Kluyveromyces lactis: one gene and its partner. The protein of the gene in region 1 binds, or shares a complex with, the protein of each later gene. Links are inferred from orthologs where the notes say so. Each region holds a gene or a part of one and is shown on either strand. Other genes may lie near its edges.

Region 1 (3,763 bases):
AAAAAAACACACCTTTGTATGAGCCGCAATGAAAACTCCGTACCTGTACGTCTTTGTAAATATGAGCTCAATAATCTTCATCTTCGTCTTCTGATTCCTCCTCATCGCTCGCACCAACTGGAGCCAATCCAGGTGTGAGAGCTTTATATCTGTGGTCTTGTATCGATTGTGGTAGCTTCTCCTTGAACTGTTTCTTCTTTTGTCTCCTAGATTTTACCTTCCTTACCTTCTTTGAATCTTCTGAGTTGGCAAGTATTTGTTTCTGTAAATCTAACAGTTCTTCCTTATCGTCATAATCCCAACTTTTCAGGTTGCGAACATTTTTCTTCACCACTTTATCCAAATAGGATTTCTCATGATCCGTAAGAGAATTATCTACTTGATGCTTTCTTAGTACTTGTAGCTTAGCCTTCTGTTCTATATCCTCTTGGACTTCTTTTCTTCCAGATATCTTCTTTCTCAACATTTTCTTCTCCCTCTTTTTGATCCGGTATACATCCTTTTCTTGTACCTCTACTCTTTTCTTCAAGTTCCTATCTATTAGTTGTGCTTTCGAGCCTTTGTCTCGGCTTGTTTTCTTTCTTTCTGCATTAACCGACGCAGAACCCGGCAGTACGCTTTGCAACAATGCGTTCACAGCGTTGGTAGCATGAGCAGCTGCAAGAGATGACATTATAATCAGAGAATTTTAGTTCTTCAAACCTTGATTGTCAATACAGAAGACACTTTTGTAACAGTTCGAAGCACTGTAACTATCTCAATCGGGGAACTTGATAGTTCACTCTCATCACATCTCATCTAATCTCATCTCATCTCATCCATGGCGTATTATCCAAATTTTCATTTTAGGTCATGAAATATTAAACAAGAAAAGAAACAATGGTGCCCACTTTAATGCGAATATTTTGGCACGTGATCGAAGTTGGTTTATTACCCGGTTCTTGTTGTTGTTACCCGTACTTTGGCCCATGGCAATAGTGAATGTCAAAGAAAAAAGTAAACACGATAAATAAAATTGTGAAAAAGAGGATGAATTTGAAAACAGTTTGATTTTATTCTGAATTTAGTTTTGACACGAGAAAAGGACGAACAGAGGTTTGTTTTCAACACGGCAACGGCGGCTAAAAAAATAGACGCACCGAAAGCGAAACAGTAAAGAATTCTAGGGCAATAGTACCTGTTTGTATCGCGTTAGCTTTGTGACAACTCTGAATTTTTTTAGCAGGACTTCAGTTATTGTTTTACCCCCTTTCAGAATAAAAAAGGTTTAAAGCTCACTAGCGGGAAGAGACCTGGATCACGTTAAGAAGTGTGAAATAAAACAACAATGGATCAAGTCGTCGTAACGAATAACGCGGATACAGCGCCTCCTTATCCGCTTCCTATAGTGAATTCTGAGAATGTTGATAATGGGAATTCCGAAACTGAAAACCAGGACGTTAACGGCAATATCGAAGACAACCATGTTGGTGCTGACAAAGGAAGCAACAACAATTTTCGGAACGACAGTGGTAGTGCTATTGGACAGAACCAGATTGCCGCTGTTCTAGAAGAAATGAAGAAGGTGGAAAGAGTAATCTTGCCACTACCTGAAACGAAAGAACAATTAGAAAATTTGATTTATCGTTACAGATACATTTCTCAATATAGAGATCATAATAAGCTTGAAGTTGAGGCTATTGAACAAATTTTCACCCAAATCTCGGATAAACAGGAAGAGTACAAGGAAAGGCTGCTGAGGTTAAGAGAAAACGCAGCCAAAGATATTCAGTGGGACGAAAAGTTGTTGAAGGAGCAAATGGTAAGCTTACAGCTTTTGAGTAAAGATATAAATATACCGGATGGCCTCTTAGAGGATGATGATGATGAATCAGTAAGTTCCGACAGTTCTGATATCTCGGTACAACTGGAGAAGGTTAAACTTTCTGTTGATTTCGACGAAACAAGTGTGCGCTTAGGCCTTCCCGAAGCTTTAAGCAACTTTCGTCTTAAATCTGGAAATGAAGCCTCGCTTGGAGATTGGGAGGTTGAAAAAATAATCTCCACACTCATTGCGAAAAGAATTAAACAACTTGAAAATCTACCCTCTAATTTGGGAACATATTCTTTAAATGATGCGCTTGATTTTGTAACTAAAGATGATATTCCTACCGGCGCAGACGACTTCAAGTTAAGAGCTTTGGTGGAGCTCAAGTCCTTGAAAATGCTAACGAAACAGAAATCTTTGAGAAAGAGGCTGATTGAAAGTGTTGCAGCTAAATCGCATAATATCATTCCATCTCTCCGTGACTCTCCTTATACTTTAGCAGCTCAAAGATCCATTCATGTTAGACCGAAGACCATCGTTCCACAAACTGCTAGATTAGCAGAAGAACTTGAAAGGCAGGAATTGGTAGAAAGCAGGAGAAGAGAAAGAAACTTACGGTTACAAAGGATCAATAATATTGTATCAAGTATCAACGAAAGATTGGAGAATGATACAACACAACGTGATCGCTGTTATCAAATGGGTAGATCTATCGGAAACTTGCATGGTCATTTGGAGAAAGATGAGCAGAGAAGAATGGAAAGAACTGCCAAGCAACGTTTAGCAGCCTTGAAGTCCAATGATGAAGAAGCATATTTGAAATTGTTAGACCAAACCAAAGATACAAGAATTACACATCTATTGAAACAAACTAATTCTTTCTTGGATTCTCTTGCTCAAGCGGTTAGAGTGCAGCAAAATGAGGTACGCATCAAAAGGGGTGAAGAAATTCCTCCAATCACGGATGAAGAAAGAGAAAAAATTGATTATTACGAGGTTTCCCACAGAATTAAGGAAACAGTAGACAAACAGCCAAGCATATTGGTTGGAGGCACGTTGAAAGAGTATCAACTAAAGGGTTTAGAGTGGATGGTGTCTCTATACAATAATCATCTTAACGGTATTCTCGCAGATGAAATGGGTCTAGGTAAAACAATTCAATCCATCTCGTTGATCAGTTATCTTTATGAAATAAAGAACGAGAGGCAACCATTTTTGGTGATTGTCCCTTTATCCACCATCACGAACTGGACTATAGAATTCGAAAAATGGGCACCTTCTCTAAGAACCATTGTGTACAAAGGGAACCCAAACCAACGTAAGGCTTTGCAACATACAATCAAAATGGGAAATTTCGACGTGGTTCTAACTACTTATGAGTACATTATAAAGGATCGTCCACTGTTGGCCAAACACGATTGGGCTCATATGATTATCGATGAAGGTCATAGAATGAAAAACGCTCAATCAAAACTATCTTACACGTTGACACATTACTACAAAACAAAAAATAGGCTAATTTTAACGGGTACTCCATTGCAAAATAATCTACCAGAATTGTGGGCTCTATTAAATTTTGTTTTACCTAAGATCTTTAATTCCTCAAAAACATTTGACGAATGGTTTAATACACCATTCGCGAACACAGGTACTCAAGAAAAGCTAGAAATGACAGAAGAAGAAACGCTTCTAGTTATTAGAAGATTGCACAAAGTTTTACGTCCATTTTTGTTACGTCGTTTGAAGAAGGAAGTCGAAAAAGATTTACCTGACAAAGTTGAGAAGGTTGTGAAATGTAAGCTATCAAGTCTCCAGCAGCAACTATACGAACAAATGTTAAAACATAATGCTTTCTTTATTGGTGCAGGAACAGAAGGTGCAACCAAGGCTGGTATCAAAGGTTTGAACAACAAGGTCATGCAGTTAAGGAAGATATGTAATCATCCATTCGTTTTC
Region 2 (3,270 bases), on another chromosome or scaffold:
AAAGCTGCTTATCTATGTAGCCCGATAGATAAAGAAGACGGGGTTACCCTATTCAAAACACCCACAACCCACATACTAGAATATGAAATTTATGCTTCCCAGTGCTTTTTATCAACATCTATAGTAAGTGTAGTTCCTTTACCTTAAAGCCACCAAGGCAATGAGATAGTTTACGTTTACTAACGAATTCTAGCATCAGTAGCTACCGAAAATCTGCCTAAAACATTTAAAATATTATGGGAAATGTGCTAAGTTGCTGCTTTCGTCAAGATAGCGACGAAAATGACCCGTTATTGCAGGAACAGGACAGGTACGGCTCACAAGCCCAATTAGATTATAACGAAATGGAACAACGACAGAAGGAAAGAGTGCTTGCAAGAGAACTTGAATTGACCGAAATCGTGAATAATACGAACGATAAGCTTATAGATATAGGTATGATCAGCAACAGCGGTATCGTAGCATCCTCACACGATTTAGGTTCGAGCTATGTGCAAGATCAAAGAGAAATTTTACATGACGTACCCTTAACGGTACTTCCCAGTTCGAAAATAAAACAGGACACAAGGAAGGCGATTCAAGAATTTCACAAAAAGTACTTCGCTAACCTAGTGAAAAACCTTACCGTGGAATATAACAAGCCATTGGTCGCCAATATCGAATCGTGACGCAATAGGTTTCTGCACTATTAGCGCACTCAAAATGGGTTCACCAAATGTTGAAATGCGATATATCACTATATACGTCTGAACATTTCTCAATCTTGTAAAGGTACTTTCACTCTCTTTATTGAAAACATTGAAATATACAAACTTTGTAGAATAGACATATAAAACAATACGCAGTATACGATTTTGGTTTGTCAAAGGAGCCAATTAGGTACGGTTAGAGTAAGTGCCTTGACTGCTGCATATATACTGAAATTTGTTCATTTAAGAAGCCAAGGAAGCGAGGAGGCAAAAAAAAAAGCATAAACAAACTGGAAAGCGCCAAATACTATGGCTGTGAAAAGAAGCAGATCAGAAGATCCCAGTGAGGAACCCGAACAAAAGCATTCAAAACAGAATTATGTACCAAGATATACACCAGGAAAACGTCCTAGAAGCGGCGCTCTACCCAAAGTGGATTATGTGCACCCTTTGGATCCTACAGAAGAGCTCATTGTAGATCTAGATTGGACTATTCCTAAGTTGAATTTGTTCATCGCATTTACTTTGGATAATTTAGTTGAAGCTCACAAGGCTTTATTCAAACACTTTATCAAACTACCCAGTAGGAAGTTTCATCCACAGTACTATTACAAAATTGATCAACCGATCTCTATTAACGAAATTAAAAGCAGGGATTACGAATATAGTGGTGGGGAAACCAAGTTCTTATTGGATTGTGAACTGATCTACAAGAACTGTCTTGCATATAACGATCCAGATTCTCTTATTGTTAAAAATGCGAAACAAGTGGTATATTTCATCAAAAATGAAGTGTTGAAAGTAAAAAATGCTACAAGAAATTTCTTGGTTAACGATGATGTGAAGACACGTTTCATAGCAATCTTTGACACTTTACTCAATGTAACAGATAAACAGATGGCAGAAATCTTAGCAGAAGATGATGACGTAAAATTAGAAGCGGCTTCTAACAACAACTTGGATGACACTTTAAACATATGCCAACCGTTCCTTGAATTGGTAGATAAAGATGAGTATCCAGAATATGAAGAAGTGATTCGTTTACCTAACTCATTGAACTTGGTGAAAAATAACTTAGAACTTGGATACTATCACAAAATCTACGATTTCATTACCGATGTTAATTTGACGTTTCAAAACGCATTGGTTTTCAATGACGAAGATACTACAATATATAGCGATGCATTGAAGCTGATGAAATGTTTTAGTGTATTGATCCAAAGAAGGTTCTTCCCTGAATTAGAAACTGCTAGAGAAAAAGGAGAAATCACGCTGGAATACGACAAAATTGAATATAAACAGTTCGTACAAGAAGAAGAAGAGGAAGAACCAATTCTTTCTGATGATGATGAAACTAACGAAGAATACAATTATATAGAGGGACTAGGAAATGGATATAATCGAGGCCCAATGTCTAGAGATTACCTTTTGGGACCATCAAAAACAAGTAAAACTGCAGACTCGAAAGTTGAAAACAATGAACCAGATAAACCACTTCCCTTGAAATTTAACATCCTTCCTGTTATAAAAAAGCACAACATTGAACCAAAGACAGAGCCAGTGCCTTATAAAGTGATAGAAAAGATTCAGATTTCTTCTTCTAGAAGTTTTTATGAACAATCAATACGACCACTGAAGGGACTGTATCAGAATTCCGACAATATCACTTGGTTCGAATACATATTCGCAGATGGTGCCCTCACCCAAACCAGCCACGAATATGCTATTACACTACCACCAAAACAAAATTCAATTACTGTGGTTTCACAATTAAGCTCTCCTGTTTCAGAAGATAGCCCTGCAGTTTTGATAGCAAACAAGGATAAAGTAAACCCAATACCAGTATTAGATGGGGATAAATTCGACGAAAGTAAAGCAAGATACGATATCAAGTTGGCAGAAGGTCTGAACACTGTTACTTTCTCTGTAAGAGATTCAGAGAACGACCGTTTGGAAACAGCCAAATTCTGGATTAGTGTATTACCTTAGTTAGCTATTATGTAGCTCCAGTGTAATATATGAAGACTATAAATTTACTCAAAAAATGGGGCTTGAAAGAAGAATCACTCTCAAGAGAACCGAACGTCAGTTATTAAAAAAAAAACACTCTCACTCGATCCAGTTAGCAATATACAATGATATCATCTCCATTTAGTACCCTGAACACCTTTTCAGGCTCTACATTATAAAGATCAATTTTCAACTTGCTCGAAGTAGCCAATTGTAAAAGCGACAAAAAGGCATTACAGGCAATTCTTTTAGTAACAGGTATAATCTCTTCATCTTCTTCCTGACTTAACTTACTTGGGATAATATCTTCAAAAAGGAATTTTCTGGAATAACCTGGGAAAGCGGCAGTTCTTTTACCTATGTGTTGTCCTCTCTCAACAATATATTGAAAGAATTTTTCTGTCTGCTTATCATGCACGATAAGCTGCTGTTGATTTTCATTAAATGTCTGTGGAATTGAATCTGATCCTGAAAGGTAGTCCGCAGAACCGCTGTCTCCTCTTATCGCTCCTCTTCTTCGATTTGGATATCCTCTTAAGTTTTCGAGATTGTCTGAATTGGCAGTATAGTT

What was found. Proteins that work in one complex are often made in the same cells at the same time.
Region 2: STH1 (region 1) and RSC4 share a complex: the UniProt entries of both Saccharomyces cerevisiae proteins name them as parts of the two forms of the RSC complex. The link is inferred for Kluyveromyces lactis from reciprocal best matches to the Saccharomyces cerevisiae genes STH1 and RSC4.

What each region holds. Positions count from the first base shown.
Region 1 is NC_006042.1:437,248-441,010, reverse strand, and holds the start of STH1 (RSC chromatin remodeling complex ATPase subunit STH1), read left to right. Parts: upstream 1-1,327; coding exon 1,328-3,763. Other genes in the region: RRT14 (Rrt14p), read right to left, coding at 68-673. UniProt on the Saccharomyces cerevisiae protein: Catalytic component of the chromatin structure-remodeling complex (RSC), which is involved in transcription regulation and nucleosome positioning. RSC is responsible for the transfer of a histone octamer from a nucleosome core particle to naked DNA.
Region 2 is NC_006037.1:259,629-262,898, forward strand, and holds RSC4 (Rsc4p), read left to right. Parts: upstream 1-998; coding exon 999-2,678; downstream 2,679-3,270. Other genes in the region: MEH1 (Meh1p), read left to right, coding at 237-668; REC8 (Rec8p), read right to left, coding at 2,812-3,270. UniProt on the Saccharomyces cerevisiae protein: Component of the chromatin structure remodeling complex (RSC), which is involved in transcription regulation and nucleosome positioning. RSC is responsible for the transfer of a histone octamer from a nucleosome core particle to naked DNA.